Callithrix jacchus: one gene and its partners. The protein of the gene in region 3 purifies or fractionates together with the protein of the main gene of each other region. This does not show direct contact. Links are inferred from orthologs where the notes say so. Each region holds a gene or a part of one and is shown on either strand. Other genes may lie near its edges.

Evidence for each region.
Region 1: the proteins of RSRP1 (region 3) and CPSF6 purify together in Homo sapiens (affinity purification with mass spectrometry; 3 studies listed by BioGRID and IntAct, with this or other methods). This does not show direct contact. The link is inferred for Callithrix jacchus from reciprocal best matches to the Homo sapiens genes RSRP1 and CPSF6.
Region 2: the proteins of RSRP1 (region 3) and PSME3 purify together in Homo sapiens (affinity purification with mass spectrometry; 3 studies listed by BioGRID and IntAct, counting the BioPlex papers as one, with this or other methods). This does not show direct contact. The link is inferred for Callithrix jacchus from reciprocal best matches to the Homo sapiens genes RSRP1 and PSME3.
Region 4: the proteins of RSRP1 (region 3) and C1QBP purify together in Homo sapiens (affinity purification with mass spectrometry; 3 studies listed by BioGRID and IntAct, counting the BioPlex papers as one, with this or other methods). This does not show direct contact. The link is inferred for Callithrix jacchus from reciprocal best matches to the Homo sapiens genes RSRP1 and C1QBP.

The regions. Positions count from the first base shown.
Region 1 is NC_133510.1:71,750,680-71,754,975, reverse strand, and holds part of CPSF6 (cleavage and polyadenylation specificity factor subunit 6), read right to left. Parts: coding exon 4,229-4,296; intron 1,083-4,228; coding exon 937-1,082; intron 36-936; coding exon 1-35. UniProt on the Homo sapiens protein: Component of the cleavage factor Im (CFIm) complex that functions as an activator of the pre-mRNA 3'-end cleavage and polyadenylation processing required for the maturation of pre-mRNA into functional mRNAs.
Region 2 is NC_133506.1:121,060,951-121,065,884, forward strand, and holds the start of PSME3 (proteasome activator complex subunit 3), read right to left. Parts: upstream 3,256-4,934; 5' UTR 3,170-3,255; coding exon 3,095-3,169; intron 3,007-3,094; coding exon 2,974-3,006; intron 2,854-2,973; coding exon 2,791-2,853; intron 2,593-2,790; coding exon 2,488-2,592; intron 348-2,487; coding exon 299-347; intron 1-298. UniProt on the Homo sapiens protein: Subunit of the 11S REG-gamma (also called PA28-gamma) proteasome regulator, a doughnut-shaped homoheptamer which associates with the proteasome. 11S REG-gamma activates the trypsin-like catalytic subunit of the proteasome but inhibits the chymotrypsin-like and postglutamyl-preferring (PGPH) subunits.
Region 3 is NC_133508.1:61,969,296-61,974,355, forward strand, and holds the start of RSRP1 (arginine/serine-rich protein 1), read right to left. Parts: upstream 3,282-5,060; 5' UTR 3,135-3,281; exon of another isoform or gene 2,822-3,134; intron 2,727-2,821; 5' UTR 2,661-2,726; coding exon 2,126-2,660; intron 1,082-2,125; exon of another isoform or gene 910-1,081; intron 767-909; coding exon 615-766; intron 1-614.
Region 4 is NC_133506.1:106,963,730-106,968,570, forward strand, and holds the end of C1QBP (complement component 1 Q subcomponent-binding protein, mitochondrial), read right to left. Parts: intron 3,416-4,841; coding exon 3,322-3,415; intron 1,682-3,321; coding exon 1,586-1,681; intron 1,330-1,585; coding exon 1,207-1,329; intron 1,078-1,206; coding exon 928-1,077; 3' UTR 693-927; downstream 1-692. Other genes in the region: RPAIN (RPA-interacting protein), read left to right, coding at 451-480.

The DNA of each region.
Region 1 (4,296 bases), on a different chromosome or scaffold from region 3:
TTTACCTTCCCCAGACATTTGTCCTGATTGTGTAGCTGCAAATATCCAAATACTCATAAATAGCACTTAATAAAAATAGTTTTCTGAAATGTAGCCAATATTATTAAAAACAACTCTATTTCAAAGTTCATTTATACAATATGTTAACTTGCAAATGCCTTGTGACTATCCAAACTACATGACAAAGTATGGGTAAGGAAAACATTCACATTTATTTGGGTACTTTTAAAGACTCAAAATATCCAGGTTTAAATATATTTTACATAAGTAAATATCAGTTACTTTCAATACCAGTACTCTGCAGCAGCCAAGACCGAAATTCTTCAAGATATCTTAATTTGAGTATTACATCATTTAAATTTTGTAACATACTTCTTCAGTTAAGCCTTAAGTGCTAAAATATTAAAAGAAAAGGAACCACTTGAATTTCTGTTAATTACATAATTATCCATCTTATCTCTTTAAGTGATAACATCCTTAAATATGCAATGACAAATCTTTTCTATATTCAATTTACCAAGTGGTGAAAGGTCTTGTTGCCAAGCAGAAAAATCAATGAACATTTTCTGGTTATCAGTGATCTCTCCCCCACCATAACACACATCCACATAGCTTTCCTTGAATCTAAGAATTACAATGTAGTTTCTTTCTGTATCTAAGATGGAAATAATAGAAAAAGAATGGCAGGGCTACAGAACTTGCACACTGTTGTGTACTACTGAGTCCCTTACATTTGGAGAAATATGGAACAGGAGGTTTCTAGTACATAGACCGACACTCATAACCAGTGATTAAATCAAATTCAAAGAGCATGGACTTTGTGAAATGGAGTTTCTAGTGAACTAGTATTAAGATGACTTCTCTAGTGTTAACACCTAACAAATGCACTGGTTAAAATGTACGTATTTTAATAAAAGCCTCTAACGGATTGCTTACTTTTCCTGGACTGCATTTCAAATTGACTCAGGAACTGTTTATTGCATGGAGTTACAACAGGATTCTGACCATGAAGTTCTCTTTTAGGCAACAGATCCATTAACTTTTTTGAAGATGCTTCAGATCCAACACCAACAAGGGCAAACCTAAAAGGTGTTTAAGGGGTGAGGATACAAAGAGATCAATATTATTACTATTACTCTTCTATAAAAATGTCTTAATCTAATCTGCTTTTATGTAAAACAAACAAAAAACAGCTGGGCACAGTGGCTTATGCCTTAATCCCAGCTGCTTAGAAGGCTGAGGCAGGATTGCTTAAACCCAGGAGTTTGAGGCTACAATAAACTATAATCACACTACTGCACTCCAGCCTGGGCAACAGGGCAAGATCCTGTCTCTAAAAGTAAATAACTTTAAAAACTGAAAATATTTCTTGAAACTATACAAGTACACATTTTTTATTCATCTTCTATAGCATACCATAAAATTCAGTCATTTAAAATGTATAATTCAGTGTTTTTTTAGTATTTCACAGTGTTAAAACCACCACCACCATCAATTTTAAAACGTTTGCAACACCCCAAAAAGAAACTCCATATCCGTTAGCCATCACTCCCATTTCTTCCCATCCTTGTACTCTATAGAACCAGTAGATCTAATTTCTGTCTTTGTACTGGCCTATCCTGGACATTTCATCTAAATGGAATCATACAATAGGAGGTCCCTTAGGATCAGCTTCTTTAACTGGTGTATTTTCAAGGTTCATCCCTTGTTACAGCATGCATCACCACTTCATTTATTTTTAAAGCTGAATAATTTTCCATTATAAATATACCACATTAAAAGAAACTTATTCATCAGTTCATGGACATTTGAGTTGCTTCTACTGTTTGCCACAATAAAAAGATGTACAACACCATTGGGGAAGTGCAAATCAAGACCACAGGATACCACCCCATACCCAAGTATTAAATATGTAAAGAAACTGCAATCTTTGCACACTGGTGATCAGTACATATTAATAATGGTGCAATGACTCTGGCAACAATCTGAAAATTCCTCAAAAGTTTAAACATCGAGTTACCATATAACCCAGTAATTCCACTCCTAAGTATACATTCAACAGAATTGAAAATACATGTTCACACAAAATGGGTATACAAATATTCACAGGGGCATTTTCCTTAATAACCAAAAGTGGAAATAACCGAGATGTCCATCAACTGATAGATTAAAAAAGTGCTATATCCATGTAGTGGAATATTATTCAGCCATTAAATGAGATGTTGATGCATGCTTCAACATGGATGAACCTTAAAAACATTATGCTAAGGAAGAAAGCCAGTCACATAGGACTACATATTATTACATTTAAATGAAATGTCCAGAATAGGCCTATCCAGAGCACGTTAGTGGTTGCCAGCAGATAGAAAAAAAGGAAATGGGAGTGACTGCTAATCAGGTACAAGGTTTCTTCTTGGGGTGATGAAATGTTCTGTAGAGACAGTGGTAATGATTGCCAAACTTCATAAATACAAGTATCACTGAATTGTACACTTTAAAAGTGTGTATTTTAAGGCATATGAATCATATCTCAACAAGAAAAACAAATTTAAAATAATCAGAATGATTACCAATTTGTATAGCTATAGGATATTCTAAATTCTTTGAGGGATGGAGGGTCTTAGCAGCTTAAAAAGCTCAAGATCTTTTCCCCCCTAATGCTCAATATAATCTTTTTAACCTATACTTCTTATTCTAGTCAACAAATTCTGTTGATTGTGCCAGGATTCTCTTAGGTCACAACATTTAGAAGCAACTAAATTAATTTAACAAATATTTATTAAGCACCACTTCCTATACGCAAGGTACCATTCTAGAGCTGGGGATGTAATAGTGAACAAAACAAAATCTGCTCTCGTGAAGCTTAAAGTCTAGCAAGAAGAGACAGCAAACAAGTAAAATCTATCAGAGCAGAAATAAAGGAAACAAAATAGGAAGCTGCTACTTTGCACAAGGTAGTCTTGGAAGAAAAACTCTCAAACAGTGTGAGTCCTAAATTAAGCAAAAGAGTAAGCCATGTGGATATCTGAGGGGGAAAAGTAAACCAGGAAGAGAAAACAGCTAAACGTCCTAGGTAAGAATTGGTCTGACAAACAGCAAAGGGACTAATGTGGATGAAAAAGAGTGATAGGAAATAGGGTCAGAAAGGTAGTGGGAAACAGATCACAAAGTACCTTGTAGACAGTGGTAAAGACTGAGACAGGAAGCCATGAAAATATTCTGAGCAGAAAGGAATTGATGTCATTTTTTAAAAGAACTTCTACTATGTGAAGCACAGACTGTAGAGGGCAGTCTATACTTCCAGTTAGGAAGCTACTGCTAAAGTTCAAGTGAGAGAGGATAGTGGCTTTGATCAAGTGGTGTAAGTGAAGTTGGTGAGAAGCGTTCAGACTCTGCAAATATTTTAAAAATATTCTCATTTAGTATAAACTGGTATAACCTTCTAAGATAACTAAGCAATATACGAAATAAGCATATTCTTTATCTTTGTGCATCTAACAATTTATCCTTAAAAGAAAACCCAAAATCTGTACCTGAAGACGTAGATAAATGATGCCTGCTGCAACATTATTTATAACAGGCAAAAGTGGAAACAAGCAAAATAACAAAAAATAAGAAAGGTAAATTACAGGCATTCGTTTACCTTTCTAATTTAAATTACCTTTCTAAATTATCTCTCTATGACATTAGAGAGGATGTGTATTTATTTTTGTTCCTTATATCAAACACAAACACATGAATTATAATTCCTTTCGTTTTTAAGGAAAAGCCCAAAAGAATCTTCACTATGTTAAAAGTAATTATCAATGGATGGTAGGATAGTGACATTTTATTTCCTTACTTCTGGATATTCTCATTCTCATCCTTCTCACTTGTACAGTTCAATAGTTAAATAAAGCAAAACAGCCATGTAATACACATCATTCTTCAGTTGCTCATCTTCTCCCATCTCTTAATCACAGAGAGAATAATGGTTCTTAAACTGTCATTTCAACAACCATCTCAACCACAGATGGAGAAAACTTGGGAAAATTAGAAAACAGATCTGTCCACATCTCCACTCCACTAGTTTTAGTGTGCTAGGTAACAGGGTATATAAAATGAATAGTATCCATCTTTGTCCAAGAACCTCCACAAGTGTAATTAATTAACACTAACTTAAAGGAAAGTTAACTTGTAAAAACTGTATCACTAGCTACTAAGTCAAAAAGAAAGAAAGAATTCTTACCCCTTTGACTGGCCATTTGCCCGATTTTCAAAAAATTTTATCTCCAAAATATCATTTACTCCCAAAGA
Region 2 (4,934 bases), on a different chromosome or scaffold from region 3:
TACGACCTCTGCCTTCCATTTGTCACAACCCTACCATGACACCACTATTAGAATCAATGAGAATGGATGGAACAAAAGAACAACAGATGCACATCTAAAATAGGACAGAAGGCTTAAACTCTGTTTATTGGAAAACCAGGAACACTAAATAACGAGCACGTTTGGAGGAGCTGGGAATGCTGCTTCTGGGAAATAAGATTAGATCTTGCTTCCTGGTCAGAACACTATATCCATCCTGCTTCTCAGGGCTGCAAGTCAGGGGTGAGGTGAGGGGAGAGGAGGTAAGGGTGGCTCTTACCTTGGAAGGCTTCTTCACACTCATCCAACCTTCGCTTCTTATAAGTGGGCTATGGATACAAAGAGGCAGGGATGAGCCTGCTTTTGACACCCACATTTCCATCACAAGATACCCTTCAAACAAGTTTAATCCCTTCCTCAGCCTCACAGCTTGTGTTATTAATTTCTGTACAATTTCCTAAGTACATATAAAGCTTTAAGAAAAGGTTCTCGGAGGCTGGGCACAGTGGCTCACATGTGAAATCCCAGCTCCTTGGGAGGCCCAGGTGGGTGGATGACCTGAGGTAAGGAGTTCAAGACCAGCCTAGTCAATATGGTGAAATCCTATCTCTACTAAAAATATGAAAAATTAGCCAGGTGTGGTGGCAGGCGCCTGTAATCCCAGCTACTTGGGAGGCCGAGGCCGGAAAATCGCTTGAACCTGGGAGGCAGAGGTTGCAGTGAGCTGAGATCACACCACTGTCTTCTAGCCTGGGTGACAAGAGCAAAACTCTTCTCAAAAAAGAAAAAAAAGAAAAAGAAAAGATTCTTGGGCTGGGCGCCGTGGCTCATGCCTGTAATCCCAGCACTTTGGGAGGCCGAGGCATGTGGATTACTTGAAACAAGCCCAGGCAATGTAGGGAAACCCCATCTCCACAAAAAATACTAGCTGGACATGATGGAACATGCACCTGCAGGCCCAGTTACCTGAGAGGCTGAGGTAGGAGGATGGCTTGAGCCCAAGAGTTTGAGGCTGCAGTGAGCCGAGATTGTGCCACTGCACTCCAGCCTAGGTAACAGAGTGAGACTCTGTCCCCCCTCAAAAAAAGAAAGAAAAGGTTCTTGCCACAAAGCAAATTATGCTCTAGTTGGGAAGACCAATCTTTCCAGAAATACAATACATTAAGTATTATAAAGAATAGGAAAAAAGAACCAATCAAAGCAGGGAGGATAATTAAGGGAATATGTACAAATCTGCTGGTTCCACAAAGGAACACATTATTCAGTCAACAAACATGTATTTAGCAACTGCCATAGATGAGGATCAACACTAGGCACTGGGAATACAGAGAATAAGATAGTTCCTTCCAGCTGGACCACGGTGGCTCATGCCTGTAATCCCAGCACTTTGGGAGGCCAAGGTGGGCGGATCACTTGAGGTCAGGAGTTCGATACCAGTCTGGCCAACATGGTGAAACCCTGTCACCACTAAAAATAAAAAAATTAACCAGGCATGTTGGTGTATACCTGTAACCCCACCTACGCAGGAGGCTGAGGCGGGAGAATCACTTGAACCTCGGAGGCAGAGGTTTCAGTAGGTAGGTCAAGATCGTACCACTGTACTCTAGCCTAGGCAACAGAGTGAGACTCTGTCTCAAAAAAAAAAAAAGAAGATAGATCCTGCCTTCCAGATATACAAGTTCCATCAGTGAGGCAGTACTACAGACAAGAATACAGTATCATCAGTGTTCTAACAGCACGTGAACATGTGACTGGTAAGGACTAGGTGTTAAAAATGTAGAGCAAAGACGGTGATTGCAGTTATATAGCAAGAACAACTCTGTATCCCGTAATACTACTCAGGACATAGAAAAAAGGTAAGTAAAGTCTTCTTCAGAGCCATGGGAAAATCCAGGTAACCTGATAAAGCTAGTTTTCTTTTATTTGAAACTCACTCTAACACTGAAAATAGCATTAGCATATTGACTTCATGTCATAAATGAAACTCAGGGTCTAAAAGGAATATACGAGAGGCCCCGTGCAGTGGTTCACGCCTGTAATCCCAACTCTGGGAGGCCAAGGTAGGCTGATTGCTTGAGCTTAGGAGTTGAGACCAGCCTGGACATCATGGTGAAACCCCGTCTCTACAAAAAATACAAAAATCAGCTGGGCATGGTGGCGTACTCCTGTAGTCCCAGCTACTTGGGGGGCTGAGGAAAGAAAATTGCTTGAGTCCGGGAGGTCAAGGCTGCAGTGAGCAGTGCTTGAGCTGCCACAGTCCAGCCCAGGCAAAAAAAAAGTGACACTCTTTCTCAAAAATAAATAAATAAATAAGAAATAAAAGGAGTACACTAGAGTCAGCATGTCTATAACAGAGTCCTAGTTCCCAGGTCCAAATCCCACTGTTGCCTCTGTACATGTTGAACTGACAAGGAAACAGGACAGAGGACCGACTGCTCAAGAACACAAAGATAAACATAGGACACTTACACCATCCAGTCCATCATGGCTATTGGTGAGAAGAATGGGGTCAGGGACTGGGAGATTCATGTCAGAGTGGATCTGAGTTAGGTCATGGATGTTTAAGATTGGTTCCTGAAAGACACCCACCCCAAAACATTAATCTTTTCAAGTTGAACAAAGAAGTATTTGATTTGAAGGGCAAGAAATCAAAGTGCTTTTACAGTTTAAAAAAATAAAAAGAAGAAGATTCAACACACAATTTGTCCCGCTTGACAGTAATACCAGGGCCAAAAAAATTGGGGAATCTGAGGAAAGAAAAGGGTCTCTCACCTTCAGAAAACTATCAAGTTCTAATAACTTCTTTGGGAAAAAATTTGCCACCAAGTCTTCTGCCTAAAGAGGAGGGAAAATACAGCTGAATTAGTATCTGTGGGAAGGTCTCTCTATATAGATATCTCCTCTTTGGGAAACTCTCAATTAACCAACACCCATTTTTCTATTTATTTCACTCACCTCACTTGTGATCCGCTCCCTGAAAGAATCAACCTAAAATTAACAAAGAGAGCAATTGAGTACCTGGGGACAGAGGTAAGAGCAGGATAGAGAATCCCAAATCCAACTGTCTTTCCCTCACCTTGTAACTGTAATATGAAGCTGAGAGGCCCCCAGACTGCAAATACTTTATTTTTTTGAGGACCCATTTTTCCATCTCAGGAGAAGGACGCAGGGCTTGAGGGCAGCACCTGCCTGTCTCCTCTCCTCTCCCTCCCACCCTCCCTGTGTCTGAAGCTGTCTGAATTTCATAAGCAGACAAAAGACAGGTAGTTAGGGGAGATGTGAGCTCACAAACGTGCCAATCCCCACCCAGACTTGGCCTATGATACAAGGCAGACCACCAAGGGCAGGGGCAGTGCCCAGGGACGTTGCTGGGCTGGGGGATTTCCAGCTGTCACCGGCCTAAAGCCCTGAGTCCAACACGTGTCCGCGGAGGTGACCCCGGGACTCTTCATCATCAGACACGGTACAGAAAGCCATCCTATATTTTCTTCTCCCGCGAAGCCGACCCCAGGAGCTGGGGGCTGGGCTGAGCCGAGCGGAAGCTCAGAGCTGGTATCCCCAGGGAGACAAAGACGCCATGGGGAGTAGGAAGCCGGTCAGACTACTGGGGGATCAAAGTGAGGGGCAAAAAGGCCGGACTGGCGCCGCTACCTTGAGCTTCACTTCCTGATCCACCTTCAGCAACGAGGCCATGGCCGGGCCGGGCCGTGTCCGATCCGCGGGACACCGGAGGCGCTGTGGACTCCGGGGAGGGGGCCAGAGGTACCTGCGGAATCTCGGCTGACCTCGGGACCCGGCCGCCCTCGCTGGCTCACTCACTGCTCGCTCGTTCCCTCCCTCCGTGCCGCCCGCCCGCCCGCCGGCAGCCTGCTGCCTGGTCGCACTCTCGCTCGCCCTCCCGGCTTTCGCCGCTCACGCCGGAAATTGCGTCACAGCCAATCGCCGAGACTTCTGCGAGGTTGTGCACGTGCCCTGCGCAGCCGCGATGAGACTCGGCTTTGGACGCTCCGGGCGGGGTTCACAGGGTCCGGGCCAAGAGTCGGATAGGGGTGAAGTAAAAGGGAGAGCGGTGGGTGATGGTGCACTGAGAACTGAGCCTCCGAGAGACTCGGAAATGGTGTGACCCTCTGTTGGCCCGGAACTCGCCTTCACCGAATGGAATTTCTCAGCCGCTGCAATCCCGAGGACAACGCCGTCGCGCCCCAGTGACGTAGGCTCGGAGAAGTCGGGGACCCGGGTACTGGGTTCTCGGGGTGTAGTCCCTGATTCCCGCTGCCTCTGCCGAGCCTCAAGTGTTTAGGCTAGAGCGGAAACGACAAGTGCCGTTTTATCAAGCTTTCCTGATGCATTTCTCTTCCACTGATTCTAGCAAGCTTCCAGACCTCAAAGATACTATCTAATGGGCAAATTGACGGCCAGAGTAGGGTAGGGCTTGTCCAAGGCGTTTCCAGTACATTCTGAGCCAGAACCCGTATCTCCAAACTTCTACGGCAATGCTGTATCTATTTTTCTAATGGAAGCTTGAGACTATACATCTTCATTCACCCATTCATTCGACCTCTCGAGATTGGATATTTCGTTCAATAAAATGGGCCAGGGCACTGTCTCAGAACCTAGAAATATGTGAGTCACACGTAGACTAGAATCTTCTAGCAGCCACGATTAAAAAGTAAAAGAAACAATTGAACATTTTAGTTATGTATTTAACCCAATTTATCCAAGTATTTCAACAAGTATTCAACATTAAAAAAATCCAGATCTTATGCATTCTTTTCTCATACCAAGTCTTCAAAATCCAGTGCATATTTTATACGTAACTGCACATCGAAATAAGGTAACACCACATTTGCTGTCAGTAGCCACATGTGGTTGGTGGCTTCTGTACCGAACAGCACAGCTCTGGGAAATCAAAGGCA
Region 3 (5,060 bases):
ATAAACTATACTGTATATGCTGAGTACAAAATTTGTGGGAACATAATGCTGCAAATAAAAGCTACAAATACTCTAAAGACTAACTTTAAAAAACTGGCAATAGAAATCACCAAAGTACCAACTACAATATATTAACGTTGAGACTAGCAGTACTGTGTTAACTGAAAAAAAGTAAAACAAAAAATTTTTTTTCAGACTGGGTCTCGCTCTGCTGCCCAGGCTGGAGTACAATGGTGCAACCTTGCAACCTGGGCTGAAACATCCTTCCGCCTCAGCCTCCCAAACAGCTGAGACTACAGTCATGTGCCACCATTTTTGTATTTTTTGTAAAGACGCAGCCACGTTGTCCAGGCTGATCTTGAACTCCTGGACTCAAGCTATCTGCCTCATTACAGGCATGAGGCACCACACACGGCCAATTAAGTTCATTAATCTCCACTTTCCTGGGTATGGCTTTGCCTATCTTCAGATCTGCTACTCAGAATTCAACACGTTTTACATATATAGCTAGACTTTCCAAAAAGTATAGTCTAAGGTAAATAAATAATAAATGGCTAATCAGATTTGACAGTGGCTTTCTTAAGGTTTTGTTAGGACAAACCTAGAATACTTACTTCGGGCTTTGCACCATTACTTGATAAACTTGTTCCACGGCTTGTTTCTTTGGCTACAGGAACAGTTCTGAGACTAGCTGGCAATTCAATGTTCGTTGTTCCTAAAGCTTTCGCTGCATTGGCTTTTGCTATTTCTAACAGCTCCATTCGATCTAAAAAGAAAAATCAATTTAAACACTCATTAACCTGGTAGTTATTTCCCCCCAAGAGAACTCAGAATTACAAAGTAAGGTTGCTCTGGTTTGAGCTGTGCTGGTCCACTTATACTTGGATGCTTTCCTCCTCCTAAATGCAGGCGAAGTACTACAGTATTTGAGAAACTGGAAACCTCAAGTGTGCGGAAGTTCCATATTGGTCCTGCAACCAATCCCCCGAAGAAACGGAGGGGTAACTGTGTAACTTTCACTGAAAATTCTATTCTCTACCTCTGCTGAAAAGAATAAAATTCTTAAATTATCTCAATTTCAGTTTTCCTGACCAAAGGCCTGAATGTCCTGTTATTTTGTCTGTATTTCCGTTGTACGTAATTTTCTCTAGTTAATAGTCAACGTCATTATTATTTTTCTTTCTCTTCAAACGTCTATTTCTGAAAACCGGGGTTTTCTGCAACAATATTCTTTATATGGTACAATTATCACAACTACTGAACCAATACTGATACACTTCCAAAGTGTATTTCCACCACCACTCCGGCTAATAGTTTGTATTTTTAATACAGATAGGGTCTCCACTATGTCGGCCGGGCTGGTCTGGAACGCCTGGTCTCAAGTGACCTCCCACCTCCGCCTCCCCAAATGCTGGGATTACAGACACTAGCCACCCCGACCTGGTAAGTCATTTAAGATACTGGACAATTCAATTTTGTTCAATAATAACATCTGTCTTTTTTTTTTTTTTTTTTAAACTGAGACGGAGTCTTGCTATGTTGCCAGGCGGGAATGCAGTGGCGCAGTCTTGGCTCATTGCAACTTCCGCCTCCCAGGTTCAAGCAATTCTGCCTCAGCCTCCCCTGTACTTGGGACCACAGGCGTGCGCCACCATACCCAGCTAATTTTTGTATTTTTTTAGTAGAGACGGGGTTTCACCATGTTGACCAGGATGGTCTCGATCTCTTGACCTCGTGATGCACCCGCCTCGGCCTCCCAAAGTGCTGGAATTACAGGCGTGAGCCACCGCGCCCGGCCAAAGGCGTGTTTTCATATTGTTCTTCCCAATCAATAATTATCTTAGAAACTTTAACTTAATCATAACATTTAGAAGGCTCCACCCACTAAGAACAGTCAGCCACTAGGAAAATAGGTTCCCTCCATCCTGAACCATTTAACATCCAGTTGAATTTTAAAGGTAAAGAATGCTGTCCATTTACATACAGATAATGTCCTCCCCTTTTCCTACGATGAAAAAGATTTCGGGAACTAATACTGAAACTACAAGGCAATTTTGGTTCCTTAGCCTCCTTTTATACCGTCCCTAGCCATAGATTATCAAAAATGGAAAGATAAGTGACGCACCTTTTTCACTTAAGCGAAGGGGGGTTCTGCTCCGCGACCTCGTCCTGGATCTGTCCCTCCATCTGCCGTAATCCTCCGGGTACACTGTGCGACCGAAGCCGTAATAGCGCCGCCCCCGCGCGATTGCGTACGCCCTTCCGTAGTACGACCTTCCCCGAGAGCGCGACCTGCTACGGGAACGGGACCGGGAACGGTACCGCGAAGGAGACCGGTAGTATCTCCTAGACAGCCCGTAGCGCCTCTCTTGGTACCGGTGGCTGCGGGATCGCGACCGGCTCCGCGAAAATGACCGCGAGTAGCGCCTGTACTTCCGCTGGTGGCGCCTTCTGGAACAGGACCTTGACCGGCTCCTCCGGCTCCGGCTCCGACTCCTGGACGAAAATCGACTGGAGACGCGGGAATGGGACCGAGAGCTTCTGGAAAAAGAGCGGCTCCTAGAGCGCGACGACAGCCGGCTGGACCCACCCGACCGCGAGGCTGAGGGCGAATCTTTCTGCGGCGAGCCGGGCCACATGTCGTTCACGTAGTTGGACATCTTCACCTGCGGCTTTACCCTGCGCTTTCTCGGGAAAAGATCCCGCAAGCCTCAACTCAAGACTTCCTAAAAAAGCAAGAGGAAAAAAACAAATCGAGTCCCGGAAGTAGACGCTCGGCTGCCCGGAAGCCACAGCAAGACGCCCTCCCGGAGGCGGAGCCAACGCGCAGGCAGCGGAGCCGCGAAGGGAGCCCTAAAAACTCCGTTCAGGCCAGGCGCGGTGGCTCACGCCTGTAACCCTAGCACTTTGGGAGGCCGAGGTGGGTGGATCACCTGAGGTCAGGAGTTCAAGACCAGCCTGGCCATCACGGTGAAACCCCATCTTAAAAAAAAAAAAAAAAACTTCGTTCAGCGCACTGACGCCGCAGCCCAAAATCGAAATGCTGCCTTCCCCAAATAGAGGGCCCGGCACGTCTCCTGACCCTCACTCCTGAGCGACCACTGAAAGGTCGACCCTGTCAGCAGAAAACTTACCACAGGCTGTCGACGCCTCCCTCACGACTGAAAGAAAGGCCCAACACACGCCTTCCTTTAGGAATGTAGGACGGAAAGCGGCTTTTCGTGAATTCTCTCGAAGAACGAATTCCACAACCTCCACCTCCGACGTCCGGTACGCGCACTGAGACGGTAAGTCAACAGACTTCTCGAAAGTACCAGAAGCTGGTCCCGGCTCATGCGCAGAGACGGTGCTCCGAGGGCGTGGCTCTCCTCTCGCCCAATCACCGCCCTGCCTCTTCCCTCCCCCCCCCAAGCCCCGCCCTATCCCCCGCGTCAACGCCCACAGGGTGCGCATGTGCGGTGGGGCTCCAGAGAGCGGTGCTTGGTACATCCGGGTGTCCCGTCGCCCTTGGCTTTTTTTTTTTTTTTTCTCTTTTTCTTTTTTTTCATATTTGAGATAATTGCATGATTCACCGGCTCACCAGAAAATTTTAAAGATGGAATATCCCCGCGGGGCGCTACACCAGGCTCTGGCCTCACTGCCCCGGCGGTGCTGAATGTTAGTCCCCGGCAGGGGGTGGTGGGGCTGGGAGAGGAATGGCTGCAGGCTGGAGAGGGCTTGGAGCCCTGGCGGTCTGAGTGGCTTGTGCCCACTGGGTCGTAGCCGCCACCTACCGGCAAGCCGCAGATTCGGGCTGAGCGTCCCCGTACCCTTCTTGGCTTCTTCCTGTCCTGGTCCCGCCGCGCCGGGAGAAGGCGCCCACATCCCTGCATCCACACCCCTCCAGGAAGAAGACCGCGCCCTCCCGGGACACCCCAAGATCCCTGAGAATGCAGTATTAACGTGGAAAAGGTGTTTTACTTACGTTTCGACTAGCTCGAGACAAAACAAAGACAATTGATCTTTAATCTAGGAGAAAGAATGAAGTCTGAGATTATCTCTTCCAAAAACTGTTTGGTGTAAGAGTGTAAACAGGGCCGGGAGCGGTGGCTCACGCCTGTAATCCCAGCACTTTGGGAGGCCGAGGCGGGTGGATCACGACGTCAAGAGGTCGAGACCATCCTGGTCAACATGGTGAAACCCCGTCTCTACTAAAAATACAAAAAATTAGCTGGGCACGGTGGTGCGTGCCTGTAATCCCAGCTACTCAGGAGGCTGAGGCAGGAGAATTGCCTGAACCCAGGAGACAGAGGTTGCGGTGAGCCGAGATCGCGCCATTGCACTCCAGCCTGGGTAACAAGAGCGAAACTCCGTCTCAAAAAAAAAAAAAAAGAGTGAAATATTAGCTGTAATTGCCTGGAGGAAAAGTGTAAGCTGGCAACTTAAACAAAAGCAGGGCATGTAACAGTAAATGTGTAGTGAATTTGAGCACGGTTAGACAGAAGATAATAGAAACAGACTTTTTGAGGTGCGGTTTAAGTAGTAGGGGCGACTGCATAAAAGTGGAGAGGACGAGGGGCTGAAAATAAGTGTGTAAAGAGAAAACTTTGGAGGCTGTGAGAGCTGGAGGGTAAATGGGGCATAGCCTGTGATTTTGAGGGATTTTAAGAGTGTTAGGGCGGCAGCTGCTGCTGTGCGTTAGTCATGAGGGCCAGCCCAGGACTGTTAGGTAAGTTGTCTGGATAAAAAGCCTACAGGCCGTGGGCCTGGCTCCTGTGTAAGAATCCCAACCGCAAAGCCCTGGATTTTTGCAGTATATAATGAAAAGTGTGGCAGATAATTTTGCTAAGATATCTTGGCCTAACAGGTGAACTGGACAAGTGGGGATGATTAGATAAGAATGTGGAAAGGAGTGCTGGCCTAATTGACATCAGATGTCGGGAGTTTTGAGAGGCCTGGAGGCCTTGCTGTCAATTCCCACAACAGTTGGGGCCAAGGAGACAGGTCCTTGAAAAGAAGGGGGTGGGGTGGGGTGGGATCAGCCAAGGCAGGCAGGACTTTAGACTTTCTGGGTCTGGGCT
Region 4 (4,841 bases), on a different chromosome or scaffold from region 3:
TTGGTAGGCTGAGCCATCAGGGAACTGGGAGCCAGTTTTACACTCAGGTGCTTACAAATCAAGGGGAAGACAGTTTTCTGCCTATACTGATCATGCATGGTTTGTACCTCCCCTATGATACATACCTGCATCAATCTTGTGTAGATTTGGAGTCTCATCTTCCTGCTGGGCTTTAAAGGCCCCAGGCTATCAAGAGTTTGAATACAGTCTTTCTGGTCACTGGCTTCCTGAGGGTAAGGGTGTTTGATTAGTTCATCTACAGGATTTAATCTTAGCTTGAAGACTATATTGATGCTGAAGGTTTCCAAGACAGTTGTTTGAAGGCTGCAGGGCAGAGGCCCAGCAAAGCAAGAGGGGCAGTCATCAGTGACCTCCTTGACAAATTACACTAGTGATAACTGTCATGACTAGAATACAATTTAAGCTAATTATTTTCCTGTTTAAACCTAGGCTTGTGATACTTGGGCTGTAATCCTCTAGAGCCAGCTTGGAGTCACATCATTCTATCCAGTTGAAGACAACTCATTCCCTCTGAGGAGCCTTGTACATATAAGTCTTTTATTTCTAACTTATTTTATATTGAAATTTTTCAACGATACTGAATGAAAAAAAAAAGAAAACCTTTCCCAGTATCTGTTTTTGTTTTTTTGTGACGCAGGTTTAAGGGGGAGGAATAGAAAAGACAAACTGCCTTGGAGGAGATAAACCAATTTTATTGTCTATTATGTTATACAAAAATCTACAAATAATAGATTTGTACAGAAAAAAATGGTAATAAATGAGAGCGTAAAACATATAATTTAAATTTGATGTTTTTTTCCCATGATATTAGGATAATAATTTCAAAGCACGTGTCTAGCTTCTGACTTGGATTTGTTTAATGGCCAAAGCCTGCCATAAAACTATGGCTTTCAGTGTCTGTCTGCTCTACTTGCTCTTGACAAAACTTTTGAGGTCTTCAAGAAAAGTAATGTACTCCTGGTGCTCCAGGGCTGTGCTGAGCTCCACCAACTCATCTGCAAAAGTGTTGTCCACCCCTCGGTCCGCAAGGAAATCCATTAGGTGGTCATACAAGGCCTGCAAAGAACAACATTTACTAGTTAAAAAAAAAATCTCTAATTTCCATTAAAATTCTTCTTTCTCTCCTTGAACTAGGACCCTCCCTTGCAAGGTCCGAAAGATTCCCCCATCTTATCAAGCACTCACCCAGTCCAGGGAATCTGTGTTGAGTGTGTAATTAGTATCCTTCCATTCAGAGTTGCCAGTGGACTGAAAGCTAACTTCCCTGATAGAGAAGATGTCACTCTCAGCCTCATCCTCTTGTCCAACCTGAGAAGAAACAGTATCTGGGGAAACTGAAGAGTTTTCCAGGACAAGCCAGACTCATACAAAGAAAGGGGGTCACTGACAGCATATCACTCATTAGGTTTTAATACTCTTCCCTCACTTCATACCTCTCCCTCCCCTGGCTTTGCTGGTCTAAGCTAGAAAATCTTTAAATGTCTACTAAAAGGGACAGGAAGTTCCCAAGAGACACGCTGTGTTCCCCAGGGGTACCAAGGGGCTAGCACTCCATCCTGCTTACCTCATCTTCTGGATAATGACAGTCCAGCACAAGGGCCTTCTTGCCATCATTCTTTATAACTTCAACCACGAAATTGGGAGTTGATGTCAATTCAGGCTGGGAAAAGAAACAAGAAGTCAGTACATGCCATTGCTGGAAGGAGATGGATGCCTGGATCAGGGATCTCAGACAGTTCAGAGTGTCTGATGGCCACCACTGCTAGGATACAATGTAGCCATTTTAATAGTCTTATGCCATACTGTTCCCAAATGGAGAGCTTTATCTCTTCACAGCTCAGGCCTATAATCCCAACACTTTGGGAGGCTGAGGAGGGTGGTACACCTGAGGTCGGTAGTTCAAGACCAGTCTGGCCAACATGGTAAAACCCTATCTCTACTAAAAATACAAAAATTAGCCAGGTGTGGTGGTAAGCGCCTGTAATCTCAGCTACTCAGGAGGCTGAGGCAGGAGAATCGGTGGAAACTGGGAGGCGGAGGTTGCAGTGAGCCATGATCTTGCCATTACACTCCAGCCCAGGCTGACGACAGCGAGACTGTCTCCAAAAGAAAAAATAAATAAAAGGATACCAGCCTCAGCCATGTGCCAATTAACTGAGTTTCTATCAGTCCCTTAACATTCCAAGCCTTTTTCTCCACCCATATACTGCAGAAAGTTTCAAGATCTCTTTCCAGCTTGACTGTTCCAAGAGTCTTCATAAGGGACCAGGGTCAAAGGCTGGGGAACCTGGTTAAATGGCCATCCTTATGGCTGAATGACAGCACCAACTTTTACTGATGGTGAGCTCTGGGAGCAGACTAGGTCCAATGTCAGGGAAATGATAGTTGGGGTGGCTGGGAAAGAAGCATACCAGAGAGCTATGCTGACCATACCAGGTCATGAAACAACACTGTACTGATGGCTGCTTTGGCAGAAGCTCTAGGGACTCTGGCTCTCATACTGGCTGGCTACTAGGCCGGGCACAGCACTTCTTAAAATGTTGGAAGAGGCTGGGCATTGGTGGCTCACGTCTGTAATCCCAGCACTTTGGGAGGCGCAGGTGGGCGGATCACTTGAGGTCAGGAGTTCAAGGCCAGTCTGGCAAACATGGTGAAACCCCATCTGTACTAAAAATACAAATATTAGCTGGTTGTGGTGGTGCATGCCTGTAATCCCAGGTACTCGGGAGGCTGAGGCTGGGGAATCACTTGAACCTGAGAGGCGAAAGTTGCAGTGAGCAGAGATTGCACCACTGCACTCTAGGCTGGGCAATGGAGTGAGACCGTCTCAAAAAAAAAAGTCTCCCTATCATGGGAAAGGTTGAGACTGTTTCATATCCTTTCCATTAAGAGAACACTGTCCTCACTTCATCTACTTGACTGTAAGCAACATATTCGGTCCCTGGGAAAGAAAAGGGAGCCACAGTGCTGCTAAAGCTGGTCAGAAACCACTGATTCCTCCTGCCTCAGTCTCCTGCATAGCTGGAACCACAGTCATGTGCCACCATGCCCAGTTAATTTTTTTTTTTAAATGTTCGTAGAAGCAGGGTCTTGCCATGTTCCTCAGGCTGGTCTCAAACTCCTGGCCTCAAGGGATCTTTCCAGCTTGGCCTCCCAAAGGGCTGGGATTATAGGTGGGAGCCATGGGCCTAGCCTTAGAGGATTTTTTTTTTTAATGAACAAAGAAAAATGCTCCTCCTCTCAGCCCCAGTGACAGCCTGTCAGAACTTAGGTAAAAGCTGATTACAGTGTTAAGCTTACCTCCTGTTCTTCAACCTTCTGCCCTTTCGAGGGTTCCTCCTCACCATCAAATGTTGGTGGGATGCTGTTGTTAATATTGAAAGTGACAGTGATTCTAAAAGGGCAAGAGACAACAGACAAGGCGGAGTTTTAACTGAGTAGGTTAACACATATACATGGAGGTCTGCTACAGTTAAAAAGGCCTATTGAAACAATGTCTCTATCCTGGCTGGCTGAGTTTCATGCAGAACTTCAAACAAGGTTGGCTGCCTACCTCCAATCCCCAGTGACTCAGCAGGTCTGAAGTGTGCCTACCATGTGACAGCTGCTGGAAGCCAAAGCTGGCCTCAGTTTATCTCAGCCAAACAAATCATGCATGAGTTACTCCCAACAGGCCAGTATCCCAGGGCTCACTACCGTGTGTTGACTGGGCATCTCATGTCCATAGTTGGCAGACCCTGCTCACCCTGGTCTTTCCAGGGAATGCTTGGTAAAAGTAGGGACCTGAGAAGCTGGTGAGATGGACCAGAAGCCCCTTTAAGAGCCTTCCCCATCAGAAAATCTGCCCTGCAAGGAAAGGAAGGAGCAATGGAGGGTGAGAGCATCCTGGCCCCAGGAGTGGGGATGCCTCACAAAGAACAAAGGCTGTAGTAAAGTCATTCTTCAGAGTACTTATGGGAAGTTTTATCATCACAAAGCAGGCCCGAAAAACCAACTAATGACAATTTTAAGGTGCAAGAATCCACACATGACAAATCATATTCCAAAGTTTGAGTCAAAATTCCTGAGGTTCAGAACATGAGGTTTAGAACTAGACCTGCTGGACTACGCAACTTGGGCAGGTACTATTCAAGAATACATTAAGTGCTGCCCCCTCGACTTGTGCTAACTAGCTGCTGTGCCATGAAGTCACTTTTCCATAATAACAGTGGCAGTCTGAAGTTGACAGAAATCTATTTAATTCTAACTGTGCTGACCAAGCTGAGCTCCTGCAATGATGTTCGTCACTGTTATTTTTAATGGCCCTCAAATAGCTGTGAAAAGCTTGTGCAAATGGTTTTTAAATGATGACACAACTGACCTGTGTATGGGAAAAAACACGCTATGCAATAGGCAAAGCGAATCAGGACCTTACTTTACACCATACTCAAAATGGATCGGAGACCTAAACTAAGAGCTAAAACTAGAAAACGCTTTGAAAAAAATAAGGCATCAATCTTCACAACCTTGGATTAGGCAGTGGTTTCTTGGATGTGACACTAAAAAAGCACAAGTTGCACTTGGTGAATCAAAAGCAAAGTAAAAAGTAAAAAAGCGCAAGTGACCCAAAAAAAAAAAAACAGGTTAAAATGAACTTCATCAAAATAAATAACTTTTGTGTCAGAGGACATTACCAAGAATGAAAAGAAAACCCACAAAATGGGAAGTAATACATGCAAATCATTAATGTGATAAGAGAATTATACCCAGAATAAACTAAAGAACTCTTAAAACCCAACAATTAAAAAGGTAAATAGGCTGGGCAGCGTGGCTCACACCTG